5 linked regions of the Daphnia pulex genome follow. The protein of the gene in region 5 purifies or fractionates together with the protein of the main gene of each other region. This does not show direct contact. Links are inferred from orthologs where the notes say so. Each region holds a gene or a part of one and is shown on either strand. Other genes may lie near its edges. The genes, in order: nucleoporin Nup37-like, protein SEC13 homolog, nucleoporin SEH1-like, nucleoprotein TPR-like and nuclear pore complex protein Nup107-like.

Region 1 (3,487 bases), on a different chromosome or scaffold from region 5:
TTTGACTCCTGACTTTTTCTTTTAATTAGATCTCAAGTTTAATAGAAAATGAAAACTTATCCAAACAGCATTTGCTGACCAATAAAAACAGACGTATTGGCGTTCTGGTAATTATGGCAATTAAGGGCCTAGATTAGGAACTTAGGTTACCACTTTACCAGCAAGCTATAACCTGCTAACATATTGTTTCTTCAAACAAAATTTATGTTAAATTTCCTGTTAAAACTTAATAATATATATAATTTTAATGGAATCATTTAAAAAATCTTTGAATTCAATGCATGTATATGCTTAAAAATTCCATAGTGACAAATGATTTCTCCAGGATATTAAATTTAAGAAGTAGGGCTTATATTGGATTTGATCATTTAATATGAGAAAGTATAAATGTTTTTGTCAAAGTTGTTTAGGTTTGTTAATTGGCATGTCATTACTAAGGACCTATGTTATATAACAACAGAAAAGAATTACCATAACTTAATAAGTGGAATTTTCAATAAAAGTTTTAACAAAATATGTTTACCAAGAGAATTGTTAGTTAAAGTTTGGTTGAGCTCAGAATTTTATTTGATCAGCATTCAGAAATCAAAATTAATTTACAATAAGGGATTATTTTAGTAGCAATTTCCAAAATCGTACAGATCGATCGTTTGCTACAGCAAGAAGGGGTAAAGAATAATGCCAACTTAGATCGCTGGCAGCCTAAATTTAAATGGAGTACATATTATTATGAAAATTCAACGTTAAAAAAAAATTTGCTACGCTAAGTTTACCATTAACGAATCCGTTATCATTACTGGTCCTAATGAACGGAGTACGGTCACAACAGGGCCTGGTGATCCAAGAACGGCAATCAATGTATCGATGGTAGAATGAAAGCGTACTTTTCGGACCATTTCACAAGAAACTGTTGTAGTGTCTTCTGGAAGCCTTTTTTTTTAAACCAAGAAATCAAATAACAATCTGCCATGGTCGACAGCTTTCAAGTAATGTCATTTGTAAAGAATAATAGTATACCTTAATGCCTCTAAATCCCAATTTTGAATTCGACCTCCTAATGATGTCGCAATATGAGTGGGATTGCAGGACGACCAATCAGCATCAAGAGCCGGGTCTTGACAGCTAAAGTTGTTGCTCAAAGAAGTTACTGGAGAAAAATTTAAAGTACTGAAGATTCTTGTAACGCCAGACTTTTCCATCACTAAGAATTTACTGGGCTCCGAAGGATTGAATCTAACGGCCATTCCTACATAAGGTTTCCAATTTTAATCCTACAGTGTTATTTTTGTCATTTTTACATCTCATTTATAAATCACCTGAAGATTGAAGAGGAATTGTTTTTAAAAGATCTCCAGTCTCTGTAGACCAAATTTTACAAGTAAAATCATCAGAAGTAGAGATCAAGAATTTTTCATTGATGTCTGGTTGAAATGCTATTGAATTGACATTGTCAGCATGTCCACTCAATTCCTATAAAGATAATGTTGATTTTTATTTTTAAAAGACTTTCAAAGTATGCTAAACCTGTTACCAAAACATTTTCTGATTGAGCAAGATCACTTGTATAAATCCGAATTTTCCCATCAATGCCTGCTGTGGCAAATTTGCAGACTTTAGGAACTGTATCACTGGATGAGAGTGCACTCCAACTCAAGGAAACAACTGGGCAAAAATGATGAAATTCACGAATCACATTGAACTGAATCTCATCCTGACGATAACAAAAGCAATTAGTAAAACAATAGATACATAACGATGTATCAAGTAGGTAATGACAGGTTTTGACAATACAAAATGTGCTTACGTTTTCATTTTGAACGTTGGCAACGACCACCTTATTTTCCGTTCCGATTGCTAGGAAATTTTTGGACCACTCGTATGGTGAAAATGAAAGACAGAAAATCTCTTCATCTCCCAAGCCAACTGAATGAAACGGTCTGGAAAGAGAGCCCATTTCTTTTTTTATGATGGCTTTTTTACTTAAAAATCTTTTTACAAATTCAAATCGGTTTTCTGATTGTGGTTCGTGCTTCGTGGTTTGTAAAAACAAATTACGTCTGCCAAGTTACGTTGCCGAATTTCAATCCCTCATGTCGCTTTGTTGCCAGTAGCCTTTTTTTGCAACCGCTTTATCAAATTATCAACTCTGGTTTTATAAAAGCCGATAAAAGCGATAAAAGCAATAAAAGTAAAATTTATCAATCTGAAAATTAGTCAGTTATTCCATGGTTTTTCTTAACGCACAGCTATAGGTTATTAAATTACCTCGCTACCAGTGAGTATATCGGACAAAAAAGAAGAATGTGTCTGTCATGCTAAGATTTTTAATAGCAACTTGACTAATGGCAGAACACAATTTTCCGAATATGGGAATTTATCAAACATATTATTTCTGTTTTACAGATTACAGACAAAAAGAAAGAATCACCCCCTCCCCCACAAATGTTCCGCCATTTGTGTCTCATAATAGACAATATCCGCAAGGGTTTTTACCCATAATCGAGGAAACCTCACCTACGCAATTTGCCTTATCGTCGTGTTACAACTACAACACGAGTAAACTAAAGCAGATATTCATAAATGAACTTTATGTAAGAAATAATTGCGCGTCATAAACTATTTCTTAACATTTAAAAAATCGAGTAGTTTTTATGTAAATCGCACTTCAGTGATGCTTCAGGTGTTAGCTAAGTTTATAAAGAAATCCGTACTTATAGAGCCGTGTTGCATAAAATACAAATTACAAGTTATCTGTGTGATAATTATAATTACCCTAAATAATTATAATTATTGGTGCGGAGATCTATCGAATCTCGAACTCCTATCACGAGATGTCTTGCGTCTGTTACAGATGCAAGATGTAATTTTTGTCGAGTGTTTTCAATGAAAACACTTCCTTATAAATAAACGAAAATATATAACCCAGTATAATTTACCATTTAACCGAATCATTAGATAATCCCGCAGATCGATTGAATTTCTGTTTGCGTGACACGAGGGAAATATATTTCGATTCATCTTTTTTCTTTCCTTAATGGACACACGTGATGCGCGATATATGAAGCAAATAGTCGCGCGTGTGTGTGTGGGCCGCCGATGCCGCTGCGCCATTAATCAAATGGAAAGTGCCAATGGATTTCGGGCGCGGTAAGCTCATCCGGAGCTTCATCATCATTATAATCTCTTTTCCGACATCACCATTTTCTCAAAGAAGAAATAAAAGCTGCTGCCCAAGTACAAAATATAAATAAGGCGTCTCGAAAAGATATAAATGACGCACTCTGATGTGGGGTCGCCTAAATTATTTCACGTACCGGAAAAATCCAAGAAAAAAGAAAATTTTATTCTTGCGCAACATTTTATACCAATCCAAAGTGCTGGCGGAAGGGGGGTAAAAAAAAATCTACAAGTTCACAGAGTGCAGAGTTATAGTGGCCATATATTACAACACCAACCAAAGTTGTGAGTTTTGCGCTTGATTGAAATT
Region 2 (3,220 bases), on a different chromosome or scaffold from region 5:
ACATTGAAATGCCGGTGCAAGAAAAAACGTTAGACCCCTATCTGGAGAAAGATATGTCTGATGAAGAATTGGCACGTTATTTGCTTACTGATAAAACATTATTAAAGTATTGGCGTATTCTCGATGTACGACGAACATCCGACACATCTTCCTGTTGTTTCACCAAAGCGTATACCCACTATGCAGAAGGAACTGGTTCTGTACTTCAACACGACCCGAACGAGCCATTTCACCAAAAATTCGCTGAATTTAAAGAAGATGAAGATATTGCTCATTTGAAACCTTTAAAATTAAGGTAAGATTGAAAACCTAATAACTGAAATTGCCTCATAACTAACCCAACGTATTATTTGTTGTAACATTTTCTGTTCTTAGATATTTCACACCGCGAGAAGTCGGAAATTTAATGGGCTTCCCTGCTGAATTTACCTTTCCTGAAAACACTTCACTTAAAACTCGGTATCGACTCTTAGGGAACAGTTTGAACGTGTTGGTAGTTTCTAATCTTTTAAGAATATTATTGGGTTGAAATAAATAATTAAACGTTTAAATGTTTCTTTGCGGTAATTTATATAGTAAACCAAATCAAGGGAAACATGGCTAGCGTTAGAGTGGAGATTAACAAACAGACGGGTATTTTCACTGTTGGCCAGGCGTCGATCCCTTGCCTCGATTCACGTCACTGATGCATACCCATTGGCCTTCCACTGTTTCCTTCCAGAGACTAACTTTGTTGTCCCCACCAGAGACCGCCAAGATGTTTCCGGTCACGGACCATGAGACGTGCCAAACAACATCTTCGAAGGTGTGAAGAACTCGTTGGTTCCAACTGCTGGAAACACCGTCGTTGGTCCATAGAATCACTCGACGATCTTGAGAACAGCTGGCGATGACCGTACGCGAAAGCCCAATGGACGGAGCCCAAGCTGCATCACGAACCCAATCCGAATGGCCTTCTAGTTTAGCTTCCTCAACCCATTCTTTATCTTCCCTGCAAATTCGAAAAAAGGCCTCGATTGATAAAGGAGATTTACTTTTTAAATGAATTATGTAACTTACCGCCAGACTTTGACTAGGTTATCACAACCCCCACTAACAAAACGCTTGACAGGAGCAGATCGTGAACCGGTAGTTGAGTCAAAGGCCGCGTTAGGTCCAATAGCTGGAGCCCAACTAACTGCATTGCACCCAATCTACAATAGCATCACATGCATTAGGAAATATTTAAGACTTAATAAAGATGGTGAAATGTATACTGTATGGGCATTGTTGATCTTCTTGGCCTCCCAACCTCCTGCAGCTGTAGCAGAGAGAATGGAGATGGATCCATCAGAACTTCCACAAGCGAGGATAAGGCCATAGTCATGAGGGGCCCAGCAAACAGAGTTCACAGATGAATCATGGTTAGCATATTCATAAAACTTGACCCATTGTCCATTCATCTCTTTCCAGATAATAACTTTGTGATCATAAGAACATGATGCTAAAATATTCCCAAACTTGGGATGAGCCCAAGCAATTTGCCAAACCTGATAAATGTATGAAATTGTCAGTATAACCACCATTTGTTGTATGATATTAACAGATCATTCAAAATTAACATACCGGTCCTTCGTGTCCTCTCAAATCGGCAGCCAATGTTTGTGTTCCATTTTTCACATCGTAAATCCTCACAGACCTGTCAGATGAGCAGGTTGCAAGCCGACAGCCATAATAGTCCATTTGCGCATCATGCTAATAAATCCCCAAAAAAACGTTAATATCATGTAAGAAATTACAAAATCAACATCAGAATGATTAGATACTCACGATCATGTCTTCATGTCCAGTATCGACTGTGGAAATGACTGACACCTAAGAGGGAATAATTTAATGATAATTTTACAAGTGCCTTTAAAAATGCATCCAAATTATGACAAAGTACCATTTTTACTGAGAACTTGTAGATAAGACAGCGAGTTATAAAATATTCCTGCGTAAAAAAAATACCGACAAACTCACACAAACGAATCTGTCAATTTTCAGTCGACGTGTCCCCAGCGCGTTGCCAAACATCAACAATTCAACCAATTTTAGTGAAAACGTTTTGGCGCCACGCCACCTCCATTTAAATTTTCATTCAAAAAAAGGGTTAGATCAATAAGATGACGTACAAATAAATACAAGGAACAAATATGATTTATTAAGAATTTCAGAACGGAAGAAGTACAAGGGTGACGTGCAACAGGACAAGTACAAAAATAATTAACGCAGTCACAGTGGAAAAAACGTGAAAAAAGGAAACGTAGTCACGAAAGTAATGAAACCAAAATAAATATTTCTTGCACAGAAAATGAAACAACCGCAGCCTAATATAAAAATTTTTGTTGGGAAATAGTTTGTGAAGACCGAAAGGAATTAAACATCTTTACTATAATATTGTAACAATTAAGATGCAAAAAGAAGGCTGGGTGTGTTAACACTGTTGAAAAGAAAAGCTGAATATTTGTTGACCGAGTTCATAAAATAATTGTTCTCTCTCTCTCTCTATAGAATTAAGACTTTCCGTCGTCGTAAGAAGAATTTTGAAATTGTTTTGGAGAAAATGAACTGGTTCATTTGTGTGATGGAGTCGCAAGGAATGCAAAAGGTGTCGAAAAATCGTTCTCATCTGCTTTCGCTGAAGTTTCCGGTGACGAAGGCGGAGTCAATATCTTGCGGTGCTTTTCGAAAAGATCCACCCCATTTAAAGTAAAGAGACGAATGTGAAGGGCTCCGTCGACGACCTTGATGAATTTAACGGCGAAGAAAGCACGTTTAACGAAGCGATCAAGAAAAGCATCGGCGGCGACTTTGGAGAAAGATTCCGCTCCATCCAGGCAACACTTGAATGCCAACGCCGGTTGCTTGGCGTAATCCGAGGGTAAATCTCTCAACAAACTGGTCTGCACCTCACAAGTGTGACCGTAATCAAAATAGTAGACTCTGGCGGTGTCTCCATTGACGCTTTCAACCACGGCGCGATACCATTGTCCGTCATCAGGGAAGAAATCATCTGGCTCACGGTAAAAAGCCAGGCACGGCTTACCGACGGAAGCAACAAAGTTCTTCTTGTTGATAAATTCCGGATGGCGGCCCAACACGTCAAGGCGTTCCATAATGGAATTGACGGTCTTCGGCTCCAGCTGAATCCAAAGTTCGGTCAGCGACTTGATGTGCGAGGCCACAGCACGAGAAGAAA
Region 3 (3,427 bases), on a different chromosome or scaffold from region 5:
TAGCTCAATTTCCCATGTTTAAAAATGATTTTTTTAAAACTAAAATCGTAAATTTTTGTGATGGCTATCACTAGTTTAGGGAAAATCACGAATAGGATGATTTTCCTATATTTCCTACAGACACATGCAATCGACCCAAAATTTGACGAAGATCACAAATCCTTAGTTCTTTTCTTATTTGCGTCAAAATAATACTTACTGATAATATTTACGGAACTACTGACTTTTAAACTGGAGGTAGACAAAAACAAACGTTTGCAAAAATCTAACAGGTGAGTTTTGTAATATTCAGTTTTTGTCAAAAATCACAAAAATGACCTTACAGTTTATTGTTGTAAATGTCCTTAGAGATGTGTAAATGTATGCAGTAATGCAGCTGAAAATGATCAAATCATTTGAATCATTTCCCTCCTAACAAAAAAACAAATAGCTACTCTACTAGAGAAAAGTGTTTTTATAACAACTTGACCCTAAACGAATGTGACATGAAAAAATGACATAGTTTAAAACTCCATATCATTTCATTTATTTCTTCAGAACAACTTTCCATTTTCGAGACCATGGGTTTCTCCAGAAATGAAAACTCCCAGTTATTTGTGTGGATTGGAAGAGACATATTATTATCATAAAAATTGGGAAGTAAATGTTAGTGCCAGGGTACTTGATTTGGATTGCTGATTGCGCCAAGTTTAAAGTAACGAGCAGTTGCTGCAGAAACGGTTTTATCACGATCAGTTCCGTCTTCTGGACTTACACCCGATCCATCACCTTTCAACACGGCAATGCATTTCCAATTCTGCAAATAGTTGGCTGTGGAAATAGACAGTAAAAACAGCTGATTTAATAGGCCAGACATGGCATTAAATATTTCTTGATTTCTTGCCTTTCCACATTCTTAAACAGCCGTCATCTCCTGAAGAAGCTAGAATAGTTCCAGTAATGTTCCAAGAGATTCTCCAAACAGTAGAATGATGGTCATCAAATTGGGCTGCCTGCAGTATCTCCAACTGGGAAGTTGGACAAGCTGCTGCATAAGCATCTTTCCTTTAATAAAAAAAATTATAAATTTATTCTTATTCCATCCTTAAAATATTTTAACTACTTACTGAGGTGGTTTAAGAATAACTATTCTAACATCTTTGCTTGCAATTCCTAGAATGTGGTAACTTCTTCCCAAGTTAGGTGCAAATGCTATGTCATGCACTGGGTCGACTATTGTGTTGATAGTTTCAGCTTTAGACCAGCGATGGGAGCTTTCACTGTACTCAAACAGAAACACTTTTCCACCAGAGGCGACATTCGTGTCATCACTACCAACTGCCAACATTGGAGGATGGAGACGAGAAAATGACGGATTCCATGATAGACAAGACACAGGCATTTTCAGTGTTATTTCTTGCTGCAAACTCCATTGACTTAGGTTCATAATGTCTGGGGCTTCATATATTCTAACCTATTATGTTATAAAATTGACATTTTCATCTGGTTTATATATTTAACAATGTAATAAATATATCTTAGAACTTACTCCTCCATCAGCTGAACACATAGCTAACAATAGTCCCATGTGTTTTGGAGCAAATTTGATGTCAGTCACATTGGTTCTTGAATCTACCAAACTTGTCCTTTTCACCCAATGACTTTGGTTTTTACTCTGCGTTGAATTCCCTGATTCACCAACTGGATATGCATTTAGTAACTAATTTAAGTTGTTAAAATTGTAAAGAATTTTACAAACCAATTTCTTCCCAAATTGCAGCTGTTCTGTCAAATGAGCAAGTGGCTAAAATTTGACCAAATTCAGGATGAGCCCAATTTACTTTCCAAACAGAACCAGCATGAGTCTTCCAATCAGCAGTCAATCTCCATTCATCATTTTCATCCAGGTCAAAAACCTTGAAAGATAATTCCGCAATTTAGTTAACACAAGAAATTTTTTTCGATTTCTAACAATTTACTTTAACACTCTGGTCGGAGGAACAAGTAGCCAATCGACGCCCATAAAAATCATAAGCTACATCATGAATCAGGTCTTTGTGTTCAGCATTTATCGTTCTTGCTTGAAACATGTTTACAGAACTTTTTAAATCACTTCTTAATCACGAGAAACAAGTTTTTGCTTGCAAATTTCACAGAATTAAGAAAGCAAGAACGCAAGCAGCCGACAGCTCGACTGATCAAACTTCAAATGTATGGCACTATGGCAGTATGGGACAGTTGTGGGCGTTGCCAGATTGATTCATGAAAGAAACGATGTTTTTTCTGATATTGTTGGTTGGCTGACTTGGCTCATTGCTGGGGAGTGGTTGCTAGGTAACAAATATGCTTTACAAAACAAACAAAAATTTAAAGTGACGATGATCGTGTTAGTTGCTCATTACCTGCTTTTTTTCATCTTAAAGAAGGTGGAGGCTTACGATGTCATATTGTCTTCGTTTCCTGAAAGCTGCAATCGTTCCTCCTACTTTGATTCGATATCACATAAGTGCAAAGGTTGCGGGGTCTTTCAAATATCTTCCGATGACCGTTTGAGTTGTGAGTGTGGCTTTGGCTACTACCCTGAATTTAATGAAAAGTCCAAAGCAATTGAATGCTTACGCTGTAACCAATCAATTCAGTCAGAAATGTGTCTAAAAAGCAATCTCACGTGTGAACCGTACGACATCAAAGGTATGAAAAACGCACATTTACCTAGGTCCTATCTGCTAAGTATAGTAAAGAAGAATTAATTTCTGAATTTTTATCACAGTCCTTCAAATTACTGGAAATATTACCTCCGCACGATGTCTGAAATGCCCGCTTTGGCATCAGCCTGATGACACAAAATCTTCGTGCGTTCCTTGTTCGAACATGTGTCATTGTCCTAGTGAATACGAAGATGTGAACGGAACTTGCGTCAAAGATTTATTCACGATTCCCGAAACACCCACTATCTTTACATATAACTTACACGGGAGACCTTACATTTCTAATTATTTGCGGAATTGGGTTAGATTGACGGCAATTAAATGCAAGGTAGGAATTATTTACCATGTTTGTGCTATTAAACACCAATTTTTTTTCTTTAAAGGCACACGGTGGAGGAAAATACTGCGAACATCTGATCAATCTCTGTGTCTTAACGGATTACAACTACGATTCTCAGTCAGCTTGCTCTCTTTATCGACAATTATCTGGAGGCTTTAGCAATTCAATATACTACGACGATAGTCAAAACGAATATCTACTAAACTCCGCCAGGATAAACATACTGAAAGATCAAGTAGCATCTATAACTTTTACGGACTAAACAGGAAAAGTTTTTCATTAATGACTTTTTTTAGAAAATGGATTTTATGGTTAAACAATACGCATTAGATGGTACATATTTATTGATCCAGCCTCTTCAATCGGTTTTTAAATCATTGTGCTGCACTGGAACTTGGAA
Region 4 (4,155 bases), about 2.6 Mb from region 5:
GATGCTTTGGAGTTTTGTCTCCTTCTCTTCCACACACTTTTTACTCTCATTAAGCTGCAGTTCTATGTCTGCCGGTCGAGCACTTTCTTGCCTAACTTGAGCAGGAGTTGACGTGACAACACTACGGAATTTGGACGGTGTTTGAGCGTCTCCTAATCCGGCTTCCTGTAAATGCATTGCACGTTTAAAAACTCATTTAATAAATATATAAATAACAAAGTTAACTGTCACCTGAAGTAGAATGCGATACATGTCTCGCTGTTGGATAACACTCTCCATCAGCTCTTCATGGCGCCTAAAAAAAGTCATAAATATTAGACTTAGCTAATGAAAAAAATGTATCTCTGATTAATAAAGTTTATACCTTCGAGTATCTCGAAGGTGTTCCACTTCAGTCAGTGCATTTTCCAATGCACGCTGAATTTTGGCGGTTTTGGTATCAATCTCACTCTGTTCAGCAGCGTCTTGCTTTTCGGTTACTTCACGGAGGGTGGTCAGCAACATTTGATTTTTCTGTTGAAGCTCCTCAACATCACGGAACGTGACGAGGTGGCGACTAATTACGGCAGCAGCCGATCCTTCACTGGACGTCACTTGGTCTTCGTCAGCGGGCTCGTCGCGTATCCTGTTACCTCGAAGCTCCTCGGTTTCACGAATGAGCAAACAAACTTGTTTACTCAGATCAGCAACTTGCTTCTCGAGACGTTGAGAAGTTCGTTGAGACTGTCCCAGCATACGGCGAGCTTCCAGAGCATTTTCTCTCTCGGTTTCCGCTTCTTCTACAGCTAAATCAAGTTGTCTGGTTAAATTGGCAACCATTTCAATTGATTTCTCATAGTCTTCTCGCTGTCGAGCTATGGTTGGCGCTCGATCTTCGAGTTCCTGTAAACAACCGTAAAAGAATTTGAATTAGCAACCGATAAAAGAAAAAATATTTATTCTTTACCTGGAGAATCTGATCAATATAGTTATTCAGCTTTTTATTCTCTTCCTCTTTGAATAGCATTTGCTCGGAAATGGACACATATTGACTGTAAATCTGCGTCAGGGTCATTCCTGATTTCAACAACCTATGAATTAAAATAGTTATACGTAATTAGATTGATTAAAAATACGGAACACATTCTATTACCGTGAAGCTGCAGCAGCTGATGGAGACATAGCTTCTATGTTTTCTTCAGTTATTAAACGTGATTTGTTGGGATCAAGTAAGGCATTGGCACGTTCAAGTTCTTTCTTTAATTCCCCATTAGTTTCAGAACTTTTCTGTAATTGGTCATTTAGCTGATCAATTTGAGCCTTAGAATCTGTTTCCAGGTTTCCAAATCGCACTGAGGCATCACGAAGTAGTCTTTGCAATTCTTCGGTAGTTTTGGTAATTTCATCAGCTTTGGCTTGGGCGTCTTCACTCGATGCTTTGTACAAATCACAAAGTCTCATTTGAGATCTCAGCTCATTTCTGTAAGATGATTAACGATTTATCATTATTCTAGTAATATTTTAAACTTTGAATATTACCTATTATTTTCGGACATTTTCATTTCTGTTTCACTTAGTTCCTTGAGTTTATCGTTTAATTCTTTAATATGCTTTTCGTGTCGCTCAATTGTCGTTGTTAGTTCACCGATGGATTTCTGAGCGATTCGTAACTAGAAAAATAAGTTTAGAAAACAATTATTACAATTGAGTAATGCTAGTGTTAATTTTGCAAAAGAATACCTCTTCAATTTTCTCAGACAAATCTGCTTGCAGTTCTAGCACTTTAGAAGTCTTCTCACGTCTGATGTTCATAACCTCCTTTGTTCTGGATTCAAGTTCATCTTGCAAAAGCCTCTGCTGTCGAACAATAAGTTCCCGTTCTTGATTCAGCCTTTTTTCTCTACAAATATTACATTTTATTTTTACCTACATTTAAACTGAACAAAAGTATAGAACTTACTTGTAATCCAGAGCAAGCTGTTGGCTGTTAAGTTCTTCGGTTTTTATAAGGGCTTCAGATTTTTCTTTATTGGCATGAACAAGTTGATCAGTTAAAGCCTTGAGCTCCCCTGTAAGTCTATCCAGGTCGTCATTTCTTCTTGAAAGTAGAGAATTAAGATTATCCTTTTCTTCTGAAAGTGATTCCTTTTCTTTCTTCCACTCTTGGTGAGTAGCTTCCAGTCTAAAACAGACACCAGATAAATAAATAATTTACAAGATTAAAATAAAAATATCTTACAAAGCCAGTTTTGATCCAACATGATTGAGCTGATCTTGTGAGGATGCAAGGTCGGCTTCTACCTTGGCTTTCCCATCTGTCAATTCTTGAATTAGAGATTCCTCTCTTCGTAAACGATCTTGTAGTTGCTGAAGCTGTGAATCCAACTCAAAACACTGTTGTTCTGTAAAGAATACAATAGCCACATTTGATGTTTACTCTCCACATGCCAAATAGTTACAATATAAAAGGCAAACTTACCAGACTGGGTTTGAAGCTTAGCAAATTTGATATTCAAGTGGTTGGAATCATTTTCATGCTTTTTCAATACCTCTTCTAACTTAATTTTTATCGAGTCATTTAGATTTTTAAATTCATCTTCCGATAAAACTAACGACAAGAGGCTAACGGCCGCCATTGAAAAGGACCTTTATTAAAGAAAATGAGGTTTACAACGAATAATATTTAATGTATGGTTTAAACAATTATTTAAAATTTTTTACCTCGCCGGGTAGGAAAATAAGATCGGTAGATACTGTGGTAGAACAGGTGATGTCTGAGCTTGGCGAGAGCGTGAGTAAAATTTGTAGACTAAACTTTTTTCGTCGTGGGTCCTCAAACCTGGGCATCAAAATTCGTAAGCAAACGTTGCCAAGTTGTTTATTGTTTGTTTTATCCACGACGCCTAACAAGGCGGGAGCGGGACGCGGGAGCGGAACTGAGGAAGCGGGAGACTGCAAAAGAACCTCAACGGAAACTGCAACATGCCTAAATGTTAATTCTCGGGGATAGAACTTTTTTTTCTTTTTTTTTCACATTAGGTTATTCATAACCAACATAAATGCTGGCAATAAATATAGGATCATTCCAAAGACGTCGACACAACTATGTGACTCGTAAGGTTTATATTAAAATAAAATAAGAAATAATACAATAAGCATGAAGGAGGAAAGCGATGTAATTTGTTAAACGAAATAAATTTAAACATTTGAGTATACCTATAATTAGGGAAGGAAAAGACCATGCTCTTTTTTGAAGTGTATACAAATGACAGTTATGATTGTTTTTTGTTTTTTTAATTATTATTATTAATATTATTATTAATCAAATGTTGTCCAAGATGACTTGTCGGATGTAAGGAAGGATTCGTTAGGTTTGGCGCGCTCGGGTCCAGAGACAGTTGGCCCAAGATTGGTTCGTGTGAACGCCAAAAGATTGCTGAACGGATCCGATCCTGTATCAAAACGGCTGGTGTAGCCCTTAAAAGTAGTTGCTCCACCACTACCACTGCTGGCTCCAGATGGCACTTGGGGTTCTGCGATCTGTCGCGGAACGTGGAAGGAATAGACCGGATTAGACTGGGTTACCCGCGTTGGTTCTGGTTCCGTTCGAAGAGCTCCTAAAGGATCAAATTCATCGACTGGCGAGAGTGAAGTTGCCGAGTCCAGACGAATCAAATCTACTTGTGCTGCACTCTAAAAAAATATTATGGGTTTAGTAAAAACAAGTACTCGGAAATTCTAACACAAATGCGACTGGACGGTAAAAATGCACGCGATATTCAAACCCACACGAAAACAAAAATTACCTTAGGAGACAGTGGACTACTTTGTGGCTCGGTACGCTTACGAGAACGGAGGGGTGGCAGGGGAATCGGTTGAACAGAATAAGGTCCAGCGTTAAGGATAGGTGCACTATGTTGACGTAGGACAGGGTTGGCAACAGGGGAAATAGGGGGACTGGATAGACTGGGTTTACGCTGCAAATTTTAAAACAGAAAAAAAAAAAAAAAACGAAATAATAAAATAAACAAAACAGAACCAGCAACCATCAACACAAAAAACCAAACATTGGAAAACCAGCAAGCAATAAACTGAAATAGTCACAATTGTAAAAGTTATTACTGAACGATCTATGGCGGGTGGTGTTGACGCGGAAGACGCTGTCTTGGCCAAAAT
Region 5 (4,315 bases):
GCTCGTCAAGACATTACAAAGTAGCAGGGCTGCGTGTGGGATGCAAGTTTGTCGCAACAACTGTTGTTGCTGTTGTCGGGGAGAATTTTCCTCCTCGAAGGACATGCTATCAACCATCCAGCCTCCGTCAGGAAAAAGTAGGACGTTATACAGTTTGTCAATAGCTGATTGCGTGAGGGAATCGACGGCTGCCTGCCAGCGTTGAATTTCAACTTGATGTTGCTTAAGATGCTGTTCTTTGAGTAAGTTTTCAGTGAATGATAGTTGAGAACTGGCTCCTCCTCGCTGTTGTTGAACGGTAGCTTCTGTTTTCTTGGGCTTGGAGTGATGGAAACGTGTGAACCATTCTTGAAAGGCGTCTAGTGCATCAATGTAAGTCTGGATGCAAAGGTATTCACGGACAGCAGCCTCGACTTCAGTGGGCAAATCCGTCAATCCAGTTCGTGATTCCCATAGTTCGGTCAATATGGCGACTGTGTCGGGTGGAGTCAACTGGAACGTCAGCTTCACAGCTTCAATCTGACGACGGAGAAGGTATCCCCGCATGAGAGTGTTGGCTTGGATAAGCAATTGACTTCGCATTGACGGATCCATTAACAACCAGCTCAGTGAACGTATCCGGCGTTCATCTTCTGCCGTGGTCGCTACCTAAAAGTATTAAACAATTATGAGTACGCTATGCACGAATGCAGATCGAAATCTATATTAATCACCTGTAGAGAAGCATCAGTGACGTGTTGGACCATTCCGCCCTGGTCGCAAAGTTTGATTACAACTTGTTTGGCGATAGCGTTGACATCAAGTCCGACATCCTGGGCCAAAGATAGGAGGCGCCTTCGCTCCTCGTCGTCACAGGATTCTTCCTGTTCCTCTACCATAACGAGGCATTGAGCATACAGGCGAATTTGATCTTCTGGCAAAGGCAATTGTCCAACATAGACAGCCGCCAAATCAGTTCGTCCAAGATTGACAAGTTGTAGAACGTAAGCTTCCAGGATGGATCCGATGGAATCGTCACATGAGCCACGACCGATGCGCCGGAAGAACAGAGCAAGATGGGACATTAGCCGGATCATGTGAGGGCGTAGGTGAACGCTCCAGCTGTCACCTTGTTTCAGCCAAGACGACATTTCTTCAAGTAATCCGTCAACATCATCCATAATAAGGTAGCGCTGTATGATCCTGCATTTCAAAATTTGCTTTGGTAAATTTCGCATTAGACAAATTAAAGAATTAGTCACCTATATTGGTCACGGCCTTGGGCGATCAAAGTCTTATCTCTGGAGGCAGCTAAAGTTGAGAAAATGGACTCGACGGTCAACTGTTGATTCCAATATTCGTCTGGTAGAATTTGAAGTTGCCGTTTATAATTGACACAGCGACGAAGTTCCTTCTCGACACAGTGGTCGATCATGGCACGCAGATGAGCCCACAGTTGATCTTCCCAGGAACGACAGGCAGGTAAAAGGGCTTTCAAATGTCCACAAAGAAGAGCAAAGATTGCGCGCTCTTCCTCCGACAACTGCACATTTTCGCACTCTTTCCAAGTCATCGTCTTCCATATGTCACGATAAGGATTTCCAGATGGCGACTCTACAGTTGAGATAAATATTTTTATCGAATCCATTGGTTTCTACAAATCTGGAAATTACCTTTCGTGTTGGCTACATCCGTGCGAGATTTCATGTTGGGATCATGAAACAGTTTCCATCCTTCCAAAATTGCAGCCCGAAATGGTTGACCTGCTCGGAAACAGAGCTGCTGGGCTTCATCCAGCTGTCCACAACGGAGTCGAGCAAATACAGAACGAAGCAAACGCATTTCATCTTCTTTGTCAAGTGGGTGAAGACGTCTGTTTTGTTCTCGGTTAGGAGCATCGGGATCCATTTGAGTAACCATATTTTGCTCGACGTTATCTGTACTAAGCCCTCGTTTTTTACTGACCAAAGAATGAAGAGTATTTTCCCAGCCGGCAACCGCATCTCCGTAAAACTCCACCTAATTAGAGTATAATATATTATTTAATAAAAGAAAATTTTAATTACATTAAAAAATACCTGGCTGTAATGGGAATCGTGATAGACATCAGCCGCTCGTTGTTCCAGCCAATCGACTACGAGCTGAGCCTGTCTGATTATGGCATTTTTGTCATAGAGTTGTTTTACCAAGTCATCTTCACTTGTAACATCATCCAATCCACTCCAGATTTCATCAGACTCCATTTCACTGTCATGAAATTCAGAGTTTAAACGATCTTGGTAGAGAGATGCAACCAATCTCCATGTGTCACGCTCAAGTCTCAGTTCTTGCTCCAATTCTTGTGCTTGTGATAGTTTGTTGTGTCCACGAGGGGCCATTTGAATCAATTTTCGCAAAGCAGATACTTGTTCTCCACATTCTGACTCATATTCTGCACACTGATTAAACACTTGATGTTCTGCCCCATATGACTGAAATGTTTTGAGGAATCTCTCAAATAGTTCTAAGACATTTTCTACTCCTGGAACTTCTTCTTCTAGAAGGATGCTCATGAGTTCTTCATTTCGTTTCTTTCGTGATACATTGCTCACTGTTAAGTCTGCTCTTGTCGAATCCAGATTTTTCCTTTGTAAACCAGCACCAATTCTCGTAAATGTAGGATCACTTTCGAAAATAGTGTGGCTAAGATCATCAGACATAAAAGACATTGTATTATGTCGGTTAGGAGAAGGGAGGCAACTGGCCCCCAACATGTCTGATGTCTTTTCGAGTGAGTGCTTTATTCTTCGACCAGGAAGATTTAGTTTGCCAGTAACAGTTGAGTTAGAACCGGCAATAATTGGAGATTGAAACTCCATTGTGCTTATTTTAAAAAGATACAATAAAATTCACTGTCTTATAAAGAAGAAGTTTGAAGGTTTGAAGTTTTCCGTTTTTCGTTTTATTGTAACGTAGCAGACTAAGTAAAAGGGCGTTGCAATTCACGTTCAAAGTTTTATTCATTAAAATAATTATAATTAATTGAAATTGAAATAGTAATGATTTGATTTTTATAATTGTTATAATATTTAATACAATTTTATTCTATTTTTTAACTCAATTTTTAAGATTTTATTTCAAACAATTTGAATGTTCACTTCACTTCCTTCCTACCCCTTCCTAGCAGACAAACTTAAGTTTGTTTTTGACTTTTTGACACGTGTGAAAAATTGTCTTTAAAAATCATGGCGAATTTCAATACTAAACGGCCTATGGAAGAAGATAGCAGCGATTCTTCAGAGGAAGAAGAAGAAGAAAATGATTCTCAAGATGAAGAAATGGGTGAAGATGAGCAACTTGGAGAGAACGACCGAGAGATTCAAGTCGACTTTGAAGGTCAATCACCAATCGCTGAAGATTTTCACGGTATCAAGAGTCTAATGCATCAGCTTTTCCTAAAGGCTCATATTAATTTAAGTGGTCTGACGGAACTCATCATTCAGCAAAACTACATTGGAAGTATATTACAGGTAATAAAATCTTGTGAAGATGTAATTTGTGTACTTTACTAAAGATATCTACTTCTTCAGCAATGTGTGGATAATGATGAACCTGATAGTGATGATGAAGGAAATTCTCTTGATGAAGTTTTTGGAATTACTTCTGTAATTAACTTGACACATCACAAGGTGAGATAAAATTTTGAATTTGTGTTACACAAATTACAATTAACCCAATTTTTTTTGTTATTTACTTTTCCTAGGATGTGGAATGTATTAAAGAAGTAAAAAAGTACCTGTTGGAAAAAACACAGAAGAAACTGAGTGGATTGTTTGATGATCCATCTAACCAGATAGGACTTATATTCAATGAAAGGTTCATAAACATACCACCTCAAGTTTCTGTTCCCCTACTGGAAAATCTATGGTATACAAGACTTAATTTGAATTATATCCCAAGTTTAAATGTAAAATTTTGTTAATAGTAAGGAGATTGATGAAGCAAAAAAATCTGGAAAGCCTTTTGACTTTACACACTTCATTTTAATTTCCAAACTTCATGAATCTACAAGAAAAGATCCTGAATCAAGGAAAAAAAAAGTCAAAGGAGGAGCCACCATATTATGGGTTAATGCAGAAGAAGAACCAATTTCAGAGGTATTCATCTATTAATTCCACGCCTAAGTAGAGTAGGTTGTAATAAAATTTCGTCAAATAGATGGGTGAAATATTAGGAGAATATTCTGTACGAAGCGAGTCAGATGCAGCAGTTTCCGGGACATGGGACGAAGATGACGAACAATTCGATCCGAAAAGAAGGATAGTCCTTATTACCGCAAAGCAGCTGCCTGAGGTGT

The links.
Region 1: the proteins of nuclear pore complex protein Nup107-like (region 5) and nucleoporin Nup37-like purify together in Homo sapiens (affinity purification with mass spectrometry; 7 studies listed by BioGRID and IntAct, with this or other methods). This does not show direct contact. The link is inferred for Daphnia pulex from reciprocal best matches to the Homo sapiens genes NUP107 and NUP37.
Region 2: the proteins of nuclear pore complex protein Nup107-like (region 5) and protein SEC13 homolog purify together in Homo sapiens (affinity purification with mass spectrometry; 8 studies listed by BioGRID and IntAct, counting the BioPlex papers as one, with this or other methods). This does not show direct contact. The link is inferred for Daphnia pulex from reciprocal best matches to the Homo sapiens genes NUP107 and SEC13.
Region 3: the proteins of nuclear pore complex protein Nup107-like (region 5) and nucleoporin SEH1-like purify together in Homo sapiens (affinity purification with mass spectrometry; 5 studies listed by BioGRID and IntAct, with this or other methods). This does not show direct contact. The link is inferred for Daphnia pulex from reciprocal best matches to the Homo sapiens genes NUP107 and SEH1L.
Region 4: the proteins of nuclear pore complex protein Nup107-like (region 5) and nucleoprotein TPR-like fractionate together in Homo sapiens (co-fractionation; 4 studies listed by BioGRID and IntAct, with this or other methods). This does not show direct contact. The link is inferred for Daphnia pulex from reciprocal best matches to the Homo sapiens genes NUP107 and TPR.

The regions. Positions count from the first base shown.
Region 1 is NC_060025.1:2,849,096-2,852,582, reverse strand, and holds nucleoporin Nup37-like, read right to left. Parts: upstream 2,161-3,487; 5' UTR 1,955-2,160; coding exon 1,805-1,954; intron 1,712-1,804; coding exon 1,532-1,711; intron 1,471-1,531; coding exon 1,317-1,470; intron 1,247-1,316; coding exon 1,018-1,246; intron 931-1,017; coding exon 774-930; intron 703-773; coding exon 610-702; 3' UTR 545-609; downstream 1-544. UniProt on the Homo sapiens protein: Component of the Nup107-160 subcomplex of the nuclear pore complex (NPC). The Nup107-160 subcomplex is required for the assembly of a functional NPC.
Region 2 is NC_060026.1:1,756,671-1,759,890, forward strand, and holds protein SEC13 homolog, read right to left. Parts: upstream 2,080-3,220; 5' UTR 1,928-2,079; coding exon 1,925-1,927; intron 1,855-1,924; coding exon 1,810-1,854; intron 1,735-1,809; coding exon 1,606-1,734; intron 1,530-1,605; coding exon 1,257-1,529; intron 1,194-1,256; coding exon 1,060-1,193; intron 992-1,059; coding exon 640-991; 3' UTR 552-639; downstream 1-551. Other genes in the region: tRNA (cytosine(38)-C(5))-methyltransferase-like, read left to right, coding at 1-295, 376-529; uncharacterized protein LOC124206188, read right to left, coding at 2,595-3,220. UniProt on the Homo sapiens protein: Functions as a component of the nuclear pore complex (NPC) and the COPII coat. At the endoplasmic reticulum, SEC13 is involved in the biogenesis of COPII-coated vesicles.
Region 3 is NC_060020.1:7,749,682-7,753,108, reverse strand, and holds nucleoporin SEH1-like, read right to left. Parts: upstream 2,245-3,427; 5' UTR 2,070-2,244; coding exon 1,959-2,069; intron 1,896-1,958; coding exon 1,739-1,895; intron 1,681-1,738; coding exon 1,529-1,680; intron 1,454-1,528; coding exon 1,107-1,453; intron 1,045-1,106; coding exon 884-1,044; intron 811-883; coding exon 647-810; 3' UTR 503-646; downstream 1-502. Other genes in the region: meckelin-like, read left to right, coding at 2,358-2,670, 2,750-3,015, 3,071-3,262, 3,324-3,427. UniProt on the Homo sapiens protein: Component of the Nup107-160 subcomplex of the nuclear pore complex (NPC). The Nup107-160 subcomplex is required for the assembly of a functional NPC.
Region 4 is NC_060019.1:7,495,787-7,499,941, forward strand, and holds the start of nucleoprotein TPR-like, read right to left. Parts: upstream 2,847-4,155; 5' UTR 2,701-2,846; intron 2,626-2,700; 5' UTR 2,616-2,625; coding exon 2,459-2,615; intron 2,382-2,458; coding exon 2,219-2,381; intron 2,162-2,218; coding exon 1,940-2,161; intron 1,880-1,939; coding exon 1,720-1,879; intron 1,650-1,719; coding exon 1,519-1,649; intron 1,460-1,518; coding exon 1,133-1,459; intron 1,071-1,132; coding exon 947-1,070; intron 883-946; coding exon 365-882; intron 296-364; coding exon 232-295; intron 166-231; coding exon 1-165. Other genes in the region: DENN domain-containing protein 1A-like, read right to left, coding at 3,298-3,672, 3,786-3,956, 4,102-4,155.
Region 5 is NC_060019.1:10,133,819-10,138,133, forward strand, and holds the start of nuclear pore complex protein Nup107-like, read right to left. Parts: upstream 2,838-4,315; coding exon 2,058-2,837; intron 1,999-2,057; coding exon 1,653-1,998; intron 1,594-1,652; coding exon 1,242-1,593; intron 1,183-1,241; coding exon 714-1,182; intron 649-713; coding exon 1-648. Other genes in the region: protein BCCIP homolog, read left to right, coding at 3,204-3,488, 3,549-3,647, 3,722-3,885, 3,944-4,115, 4,177-4,315. UniProt on the Homo sapiens protein: Plays a role in the nuclear pore complex (NPC) assembly and/or maintenance. Required for the assembly of peripheral proteins into the NPC. May anchor NUP62 to the NPC. Involved in nephrogenesis.